Rattus norvegicus: one gene and its partner. The protein of the gene in region 1 binds, or shares a complex with, the protein of each later gene. Links are inferred from orthologs where the notes say so. Each region holds a gene or a part of one and is shown on either strand. Other genes may lie near its edges.

What was found. Proteins that work in one complex are often made in the same cells at the same time.
Region 2: the proteins of Cdk5r1 (region 1) and Cdk5 are in contact, whole or in part, in a crystal structure (PDB 3O0G), measured with the Homo sapiens proteins. The link is inferred for Rattus norvegicus from reciprocal best matches to the Homo sapiens genes CDK5R1 and CDK5. Residues at the interface, in NP_003876.1 of Homo sapiens: Trp190, Gln193, Thr197, Pro198, Ala199, Phe203, Tyr231, Leu232, Ser235, Tyr236, Met237, Gly238, Asn239, Glu240, Ile241, Ser242, Tyr243, Pro244, Leu245, Lys254, Glu255, Trp258, Asp259, Cys261, Leu262, Ile265, Asn266, Ser269, Ser270, Met272; in NP_004926.1 of Homo sapiens: Leu37, Asp38, Glu42, Gly43, Pro45, Ser46, Ser47, Leu49, Arg50, Ile52, Cys53, Leu54, Lys56, Glu57, Val69, His71, Leu76, Arg120, Asn121, Val122, Leu147, Arg149, Ala150, Phe151, Gly152, Ile153, Pro154, Arg156, Cys157, Tyr158.

What each region holds. Positions count from the first base shown.
Region 1 is NC_086028.1:65,979,938-65,984,316, forward strand, and holds Cdk5r1 (cyclin-dependent kinase 5 activator 1), read left to right. Parts: upstream 1-2,101; 5' UTR 2,102-2,260; coding exon 2,261-3,184; 3' UTR 3,185-3,279; downstream 3,280-4,379. Other genes in the region: uncharacterized protein Cdk5r1l, read right to left, coding at 1,577-2,101. UniProt on the Homo sapiens protein: p35 is a neuron specific activator of CDK5. The complex p35/CDK5 is required for neurite outgrowth and cortical lamination. Involved in dendritic spine morphogenesis by mediating the EFNA1-EPHA4 signaling. Activator of TPKII.
Region 2 is NC_086022.1:11,645,118-11,650,753, reverse strand, and holds the start of Cdk5 (cyclin-dependent kinase 5), read right to left. Parts: upstream 3,631-5,636; 5' UTR 3,537-3,630; coding exon 3,500-3,536; intron 2,937-3,499; coding exon 2,848-2,936; intron 2,773-2,847; coding exon 2,705-2,772; intron 2,602-2,704; coding exon 2,541-2,601; intron 2,441-2,540; coding exon 2,384-2,440; intron 1,042-2,383; coding exon 946-1,041; intron 794-945; coding exon 719-793; intron 564-718; coding exon 467-563; intron 290-466; coding exon 220-289; coding exon of another isoform or gene 174-219; exon of another isoform or gene 1-173. UniProt on the Homo sapiens protein: Proline-directed serine/threonine-protein kinase essential for neuronal cell cycle arrest and differentiation and may be involved in apoptotic cell death in neuronal diseases by triggering abortive cell cycle re-entry. Interacts with D1 and D3-type G1 cyclins.

The DNA of each region.
Region 1 (4,379 bases):
GATTGCAGCCTTCAGAGGCCTGTGTATAATTAGGGAAGTAGAACACATTTAACTTTTGCTTAATCCTAGAATTCGAAGGGGACCATAAACATGAAGTCAGCTCAGAGGCTGGTTTTTAGCGGTTGCCTTCCCAGGTAGAAGCATTGGGCCAGGGGGTCTGAAAGACCCTAGGAAGACGACTTACAGCTTAACTATGATGAAAAGGAAGAGACCCAGGGCAGCTCCATTGGAAGAGCAGCTAGGGCTGTTAAGTCGGACCCATGAGGCTTGGTTTCAACGTCAGTGTTGAGGGCGCTCTTGGAGAGGTTTTTCTTTGGAGCTGGTGTGGTGGCTCATGCCTGAATGCCAACAGTGAACACTGAGGCAGGAAAATGGCAAGGTGCTGGCAGCCTGTGTTTCAAGGAGAGGTTCTAAGTCATGGACTAATTTCGAGCAGGAAGGGGTTAACGAAAGCTCCTGCTAGCAGTTGTTAGAAAGACTGTGTGGCACCTGCCCTCATTCCCCCAAGTAATTATTCTCCCCCTTCCCGGTGTGAGTTGAAGCCTCGATCTCCCCATAGCCTGCTCTACTACTGGATCTGGACCATACTCCAGAACTGTGAGCTAACACTTCATTATTTTATTTATAGGTTACCCAGTGTCAGGTGCTGTGTTCTAGTAATAGCCAGCAACCATTTGTTCTATGAGAAACATTGTTAGGGAGGGGCCACAGCGAAGCTAGTCCCCCCTCCCCCCCGCCCCTCCCCCCCCCGCCCCGGTACAGCGCAAGGCATTTTCCATTCTGATCACCCCATCCCTAAATCTTTCTGCTCGTGTTGGCTGAGAAGTCTTTGGGTACAAAAAGAAACTGGCACTTTCTAACTTGGAAGTACTTCACCTAATGACCTCAACAAGATTCTTGTTTTGGGTAGTTTGCTCAACCGTTGCAGGTGTTGTCAGGAATTCTCTTAGGTTCGGAGTTGGGAGTCTGAGTTAAGATACAGGTTGGCTTGTTTGACAGTATGGGTCTCCAGAACCAGTCCGAAATGAGTGACTTGTAAATAAGCAGTGGCCTTTGTGAAGGATATGGAGGCTGCTTGTGAACTATGCGTCGCTAGTCAGAACCAGATTTATTTATTTACGTATTTAATTTTGCAATTTTACTGTCATCAAATTTTAAAACGGGCAAATGAGAGACTGGCCTGAAGGCGCAGCAGCTTTGATTTTTGACAGCTGTCCTGACGGGATCTCTAGGCCGCCCTCGCCCTTCTGGCCTGGCTTTCTAGAGTCATGATGGGTGCCGGGCCTTTACGCCGATGCGGGATGCGGCTTTCCCTTGTGGGAGCCCCGGCCAGCTCCACAACGCCCGCAGCCTCCGCTGAGGGGGCCGCGGCGGGAACAAAGGCAGCACGTGTCTGGGCGGGGCCGCCCTCCGCCCCGCCCGCTCGCCCGTTCGCCCGCACGCCCAGCGAGCTCCGCTGCGCGGCTCCGGGGCTCAGGAGGCCGGGCTGCGCCGCGCGGCGCCGGCGGCTTCCAGGTGGAGACCGGGCTTCGCGCGTTCCCGCCGCCCGCGCTGCGACCCGTATGGGGCGCGCCCACTAGAGGCGCCATTGTGCGCCGCTCGCGCTGAAGATGCGAGTGCGGCGAGACTGAGCGGGCTTGTGGACCGCGCGCGCAATCTGGAGAGGCAGCTTGGGGGGCGCTCGCCGGGGCGGGGCGGGGCGGGGCCGGCGGGTGCGCGGCGGAGACGCAGGCGGGGGCCGGGCGGGGGCGGGGCCGCGGCGCCTGCAGAACCTTGGACAGAAGCTGAGAGCCGCCGCCGCCGCCGCGCCGAGCCGCGCCGAGCCGCGCCGAGCCCCGGGGCCGCGGCGCGCATTGCGGAGGGTCTGGGACGCAGCGGCTGCGCCTGCCGCGGGGAGCCTGCCTGCGGGTAAGCCTCCGCGGACCGGGGCCGTGTGCGCGGCCTGGTTGGACGCCTGCGGCGGCGGCCGCTGCGGCGCTTGGCTGGTGCCGCAGTGGAAGCATAGGCTGGGGCTCCACGGGGCCGCAGCCCGGGGGGCTCGGGCCTCGGAAGTGCGGGCGGAGGGGCGCGGCGCGGAGCCCCGCCCGGGGCTGAGAACCATCTTGTTTTCCACGCAGATCCGCAGGGCTACACGCGTCGTGTCCCGGGAGCGCCTCCTTTCTCTCTGCGGCCGCTACAGGCTTGGTAAGCCTTTTTCTCCCTCCGGCCGGCAGGCTGGGCGCGCAGGGGTGCCGGCCCCTGCCGGGCGCGCAGTGGCACCATGGGCACGGTGCTGTCCCTGTCCCCCAGCTATCGAAAGGCCACACTGTTTGAGGATGGCGCGGCCACCGTGGGCCACTACACGGCCGTGCAGAACAGCAAGAACGCCAAGGACAAGAACCTGAAGCGGCACTCCATCATCTCGGTACTGCCTTGGAAGAGGATCGTGGCGGTGTCAGCGAAGAAGAAGAACTCCAAGAAGGCGCAGCCCAACAGCAGCTACCAGAGCAACATCGCGCACCTCAACAATGAGAACCTGAAGAAGTCGCTGTCGTGTGCCAACCTGTCCACGTTCGCCCAGCCCCCGCCGGCCCAGCCGCCCGCACCCCCAGCCAGCCAGCTTTCTGGCTCCCAGACTGGGGTCTCCTCTTCTGTCAAGAAGGCCCCGCACCCTGCCATCACCTCCGCAGGAACACCCAAACGGGTCATCGTCCAGGCGTCCACTAGTGAGCTGCTGCGCTGCCTGGGTGAGTTTCTCTGCCGCCGGTGCTACCGCCTGAAGCACTTGTCCCCAACGGACCCCGTGCTCTGGCTGCGCAGCGTGGACCGCTCCCTGCTTCTGCAGGGATGGCAGGACCAGGGTTTCATCACACCGGCCAATGTGGTCTTCCTCTACATGCTCTGCAGGGATGTTATCTCCTCTGAGGTGGGCTCGGACCACGAGCTCCAGGCTGTCCTGCTGACCTGTCTGTACCTCTCCTATTCCTACATGGGCAATGAAATCTCCTACCCGCTCAAGCCCTTCCTGGTGGAGAGCTGCAAGGAAGCCTTTTGGGACCGTTGCCTCTCAGTTATCAACCTCATGAGCTCCAAGATGCTGCAGATCAATGCTGACCCACACTATTTCACACAAGTGTTCTCTGACTTGAAGAATGAGAGTGGTCAGGAGGACAAGAAGCGACTCCTCCTGGGGCTCGATCGGTGAGCCCCTGTAGCTGGTATCCTGGCTCAAGGATTCCATTCGTTTTTAAAATTTATTATTAAAGAATCAAGTTTTGTGTACAGTATGTGTCTAGCAGAGCCACCAAGGGCCTCTTCCCACGTTCTTTCCTTGGGTTTTTTTTTTAGCCCTTTCAAGAACTCTGGGGACTTTCGAACTGATGAACCTTGTGGGAACCCAGAAGATGCATTCAGAGCCACCTCGGCTGCTGACCACTCTCTTTCCGGGGCTCAAGGGACTGACTCGTCTACGTCACCTGTACCCACGATGGATCCAGGGTAGATGAGGCTTCCCGCTGTCCCATGATCTGAGCTGAGCCCCGAGGCTGGTGGCCCAGGAGGAACCAGCCCTTTTCTGGGTATTGTTTCATTCTCTCAAAGGCTCCTGCAGCCAGCCGTTCTGGTGTGGCAAGATCTCCACTGCCCCGGGGCATCAGTGAAGGCGCCTGGGAGTGGGTCTGGTGCAAAGATTGTTGGTGACTGTTGGCCGCGCACGGCCCTGGTCTGCTGCTTGCTGTTCAGAGAGAAGGGCTTTCTTTCCTTTCCTGGCAGGATGGAGCTCCCTCCCCGTCCTTTTGTCTGTGCTCCACCTTAGCACTGGTTAATAAGCTGGTTTGCTCATTAGATTCCTCTCCCACTTTGGGTCCCAGCTAAGGGATGAGGTGAAGCCAGGGGCAGCTCCTCTCCTGAGTGAGCTTTTCATTTGAACGACACACTTCAGTCACCCTGTGTAAAAAGCCAGGACAGCGCCAGGGACCCACTAGCAATGCTGCCTCCTGGGCAGGTGGGTGTCTATGCCTGAGATCAAGTTGGTGCCCACTTACATGCTAAGGCCTCTTGCTGGTGCACATGATACTTGTCCTACATCCCTGGGGAAAGTCGAGATGGGGTGAAATGGCATTGCTGTCTCCCACCCCGTCCCTAGTTAATTTTAAGCCGTTTCCAGGCAGTTCAGTTTCTCCTGGTGAGGAGGCTTTGCTCTGTGCAACCTACTGAGACAGCTGCATTTGGGGACAATTACAGGGTTCGAGTGTGACTGCCGATCAGTTTGGAAGCTTGGTGACTGTCCAGCTGATCACTTCCAGCTGCTGGGTGTGGTGCCCACCCATCCCTGTCGGCTACATAACACTCTGGACTTTAATGGTTTTTCGTTCTAATTTTCCCAGACTGGTAGCTTGGGG
Region 2 (5,636 bases), on another chromosome or scaffold:
ACGCTGTTTCTTCCTAAGGCTTACTGAAACAACTTCTAATGGCTTTGTCAGGAGTGCCGTCCTTACCAACAGGCCACCTCTCTCAACAGTGACTCCATCCATGCAAGGACAATGTGAAGGGCAAGCAATGGCTAACCCTCACCCCTGCTCTAGGCTCTACGCCCACTTCCTTTCTACAAAGAGGTAAAGGAGCGTAGGCTAGGGGCACTGGGAGGATATCGAAAGATCCTCTTCAGCTGGTCATCCACATCATTGCCGGGGAAGAGAGGTCGCCCTGCATTGGCCAGCTCTGCAGGAAAAAACAGGGATAGAACAGTACATGTAGGACCCATCATTCTGAGGTGCCCCTATGCCTTCCAGTCCCAGCCCCAAGAGCTCCCTCTCCCTTCCTTCATGAGATCCTCTAGACCCTTTTTGTTACCCCAACTGGGAAAGAGAGTACCTCCGCAGAACCCCAATGTGTCACCTGCAAAGATGCAGCCGGCTGACCACATGTCGATGGACGTGGAGTACAGCTTGGCCCCAAAGAGGACATCCGGTGGGCGGTACCACAGCGTGACCACCTGGAGAAGACCCCACCCACAGGGATCCCCCCTCCCACTTAGAGAGCTGGAGGGAGGTCCAGAAGGAGGCTCAGAGAGCAGAGGAAATGATGTGGTGTAGAGAAGCCACTGGGGGACTCCCTCCCTCAACCTCACACACCACTTCCCAGGCTCACCTCAGCAGAGTAGCAGCGGACTGGGATACCAAAGGCTCGGGCCAGGCCAAAATCAGCCAATTTCAGTTCCCCATTCTGAGGGGAGATAACACAAAGGGAACATGGGGAAGGGCTTTTAAATGGTTCGGGGTAGGCTCCAGTTTCCTTCTCCCCACCCTGTTCCCTCAGTGCTTCCCCACCCCTGGCTCCGGCTTCTGATTTCTCGCGCCCTGTTCCCAGAGCAATACCCTGTTAATGAGCAGATTCTGGGGCTTCAGGTCCCTGTGCAGCACGTTACGGCTGTGACAGAATCCCAGGCCTTTCAGCAGCTGGAAGAGGAGTGACTGGAGGGAGGTAAGGGAAACGGAGTCAGACCCACTTTGCCCTACAGCCCATGTGACTGGCAGCAAGCGGAGAAGTTCATTGTGTGTGTGCACACGAGTGTGCATGCACGCCCACGCATGCACATAAGCGTAAAGAAAGGGTAGGGTCCCCTGGAACTGGAGTTACAGGCGGTTGTCAGCCACCCAATGTGAATTCTGGGAACAGAGTCCTCTGCAAGAACATCAAGTGTTCTATGTTACTGTTTTGGTTTTTTGAGACAGGTTTTCTCTATATAGCCCTGGCTGTCCTGAAACTCCATCTGTAGATCAGACTGGCCTTGACCTCAGAGATGTACCTGCCACTGTCCCAAGTGCCCGGGGTCTGGACAAGGCTCTTAACAACTGAGCTACCTTTTCAGCCTCTCATCAGTTACTTTCGAGAATCTGATTTGCAGGTACTGGGGGTCGGGGGGCAGTACAACAGTAACCAAGTTGTCCTTGCTTCTCACAGCTTTCTGGTGAACCTTCCTGTGCTCCCAGTCCATGCTGGTCTCCCCTACACGGCTGCAAGTGGGCACACACACCATAAGCATCAACACAAATACAAAGCTATAGTATTACTCAGGGCCCACTTCCCCTGGAACTTGGGCCAAGGTACTTTTTAGTCTTGGGCCTAGAATAGTGACTGGTCCACAGCAAAACCTTCAGCAAATATTTATTTTGTTGGTCTCTCTCTCTCTCTCTCTCTCTCTCTCTCTCTCAATTTACTTTATTTTTAAATTATGTTTGCATATATGTATGCATGCACGATGGGAGAAGGGTATGTATGTGAGTGCAGGTGCCCTTGGAGGCCAAGAGTGGGTACTGGATCCCCGGGGTCTGCAGTTACAGGTGTTTGTGAGCTATCTCAGGTGGATGCTGGAAGTTGAACTCACATCTTCTGCAAGAGTAATATGCGTTAACTGCTGAACCTTCTGTCCAATCCCCCTTGTCTTGATTTTGCTTTGATGTTTGAGACATCAAACCTCTCAGGCAGGTCTGAAACTTGAGATCGCCCTGCCTCAGCCTTCTGAGTGCTAAAGTTAGAAGTATGGGCACTGTGCAGGCCTGGTATTTGTTGAATCCAGGAGATAGTTTCTCTTATGTCTCATCTCTGGAGTGCAAATGACATCACTGAAATCAGATACTGTCTGTGCAAGTCAAAGGTGACCACATTAAAAACGTTCACCAAGACAGGTAGTCCTTAGTGAGCAGGAACAGGGTTCGTCTGGGACCCTAGCCCCCAACCTGACACTCAAGAGTGCTGATAACTTTATATAAACACACCCAGGCACCACGAATCCCTTGACATCCTTCCCCTCACCTTCACAATCTCAGGGTCCAGGTCACCATTGCAGCTGTCAAAATATTTCTTCAGGTCCTAAATAGAGGTGGTAATGAGGAGAAAAGGGCAGAGCTCAACCTTAGTTTGGACTCCTACACCCTCCCAGGATTAATATCCCCCCAAGCCCCTCTTTCACCTGATCACAGAACTCAAACACCAATGTGAGCTTCTTGTCACTATGCAGGACATCATGAAGCCTACGGAAAATGAAAGGCTTAACCAGATCCCCAAGTTGGCCTCTAACATCCCAATACCAGCCCAGTCTAATGAGGAGGTTCAACCTTCTCCAACAGACCTTACCTGACAATGTTTTTGTGCTTCAGTTCTTTGAGTAGACAGATCTCCCGGAGGGCTGAACTTGGCACACCCTACAACATGCAAGGGGGTAGTAGTCACACACAGCCCAAGATAGGCTTTAGACCCCTCCCATGCCCTAGGCCTACCTCATCGTCATCGTCCAGCCTGACTCGCTTCAGAGCCACAATCTCATGGGTTTCCCGGTTTTTGGCCTTGAACACAGTTCCGTAGGTGCCTAGGGGAAGGTCGGGGATGAGGAAGCGGATCCTTCTCAATATCTTAGTGTGTAAGGGTAGGTTTCCAGGGCAAAGGCCAGAGTAGTTTTATGAGCGAGGATGTCAAGGGGAAGGTGCCTAAAAGAGCGCAAGGCTTCAGCTGCAGGGAGAATCTGTCATAAGCTCCAGGGTGGGGGGTAGGGTCGGGAAGTAGCAAGGAGTCACCTAGGAGAGGAATGATGGCCTGCAAGAATGTTAAGGTTGGAGGTTCTGCAATGAATTGAAGCAGGGATTCCAGGTGAGGTTTGCAAGTGATGCTGAGGCTAGGGATGAGAAATGCAGGAAGTGCCGCGGTTAGGAAGGCTGGTCCACAGAGACTGCTAAGGCTAAGAGCAAGAGTTTGCCGCAGATGCTAACACAGGGTGAAGGGTTGGTTTCTGCACTGGGTGTTGGGCTCAGCGGCCAGGGCTTTTGGCCAGTGCTGAGGTCGGAGCCTGCAGGCATAGCTGACGGTAAGGGAGCTGGGACTGCAAGTAGGGTCTTCAGAAAAAGACCTTGCAGGAACATCTCGTGGTTCCATTACCTTCCCCAATCTTCTCCAGTTTCTCGTATTTCTGCATCGCAGCGGCCACGGGGACCCCTGCGGGCCCTCGGTTCTAAGACTCCCGGCCCCGGCGTTGCAGAGGAGGTGGTACCCAAAGCTCCAGCCCCGCCCACTCGCTCACCACGCACTGGCATCTGGGACTTGTAGTCCCGGGGCGGCCATGTTTCCCAAGATTGCCTGTGGCGGAAGGCACGCGGACTACAAGGCCCAACAGGCTGCGCTCGGGCTCTCTGCAGCGCTCAACTCCAGGGACTCGTTTCCATCGCGGAGGCAAACCTTAAACTTCAACTCCCAGGAAGCATCGCGTGTCCGCTTTTCGGGCGTCTCCGCCAAGGCGCGGAGGCTCCCAGTGTGCCCCGCTCTTGTTATTATTCCTTTTCTGTGCTCACAGCCTTCCAGAAAAGGGCCGCTCCCGGACTACGCGTTCCAGAATACAGTGAGGGTGGGGGTGGGGTGCTCTCTGCTTGAAGTTTGCGTTTGACGGCCTAGATCCCGAGCGCTGTTGGCCCGGCTCTGACCTGGTTGGGTGTTTTGAGTCACCAGCGACCTCCTGACACAGCTTCAGCACTAGTTTTCACCTCTCCCTAGGCCACCTGGTGACCCCAGGACTGATTGGGGAATGATTCTGAGCGATGTCTTACTGCTGATGACCTCACAGGGACCAGCTGACCACAGGGCTGGGCAGCGAGACAGGTGTGCCCCGTTAGAGTCTGGATTTGAGTGGAAGGACACACGCCAAAGTCCCCTCTTTCTGCTGGGCCCATTTTATCGTCTCGAAACCCACCGGACTCCAGCGGCTCCACTTTGACATGCCGAGGCCAGCTGACTGGAGCCTGGGTGTCCCCCAGATCCCAGTATTCAGAGCAGGCCCACTGGAGTCAGCCAGGGTGTGGCCCACGAAGACTGGCAGGTCAGTTACTTCCCTCAACAGACAAGACCACAGACAGATGCTACACTTGCAGCAAGCAGCCTTTACCTCACCCTATAAAGGAGTTGATTATAGATTTTTCTTGCACTACTCTCTAATTGTCTCATGATTGCATTCTTGAGGGCTGTGAACCGGGCGAAAATGGCCCCAAACAGCATTCCTCAGCGCCGGAACCAGAGTAGGCGCTAACCTTTTGTTAATTAACTCACTTAAATCTGAGTGCTATTGCATAAACAATATTGTGATTTGCCCACGTGGCAGACTGAAGACGCATAAAGTGAATTCTTTATCTGAAATAATTGATAATTTAGTTGAGAAAACAAGATGACACGCAAAGGGCTTTAAAATAAAGGTGTCGGCTGTGAATAGGATTCCATTCGGCCCGGAGGTAGTTCTAGGGAAAGTGAGGAATCTTCAACAAGTTGTCTTGTTTTCCATCTGTTCAGGGTCACGGCCACCCAACTCCAGCGTCTTTACTCCTCACATTCGCCGGCCACCCCGTTCTCTCAGGCTGACAACGGGGCTTTCTTGGAGCCAGTGGTGTTATTTGGGAAAGGGCCCTGCAGAACCTTAACGTCAAAAAATTTGTAATTCAGCTCCCTGCGTCTCAATTTCCCGGCCCTACTCCATGCCCTCGATCCCCAACGTGAAGCTGGCTTCTTTCCTCCCAGAGGTGGCTCACTAAAGCCAAGAGAAGGCGTCCCCGGAGTCTCGCCGCGGGTGGGGGGGAGGCACAGCCCGGGTGCCGCGCCAGCGGTGTCGGGCTGTGCCTGGGAGCGCGTCCCCGTCGCGGAGTCTCAGCGTCCGCTTTCCGCCTCTCAGCTAGCCGCGCCGGGGGCGCGCACGGCGCGCTGCGGGGGGCGCGCACGCTGGAGGCTGGCCTGCCCGGCGCGGGGGAAAGTTGAGTTGGGAGAAGTTGGGAGCGGCGGGGGCGCGCCCCGGGGTGGGCACCGGGAAATCGTCGGGAGCGCGCGAGGGTTCCGGAGGATCAGGGGAGACCCGGAGACCCCCGGGACACGAAATCTAGAGCTAGCGGGTAAGCAGTTAGGTGGCGGAGAGGGAGGGTGAGGGCCGCGGAGGTGGGGGGGGGACTGGAGACTCGGGCGCCGAGGGAGTGGAAGTGGAGGAAAGGGCGGGGACTGGGGCGCAGGGAGCGAGGTCTTAGGGAGAAGGATGGGGAGGCGAGTG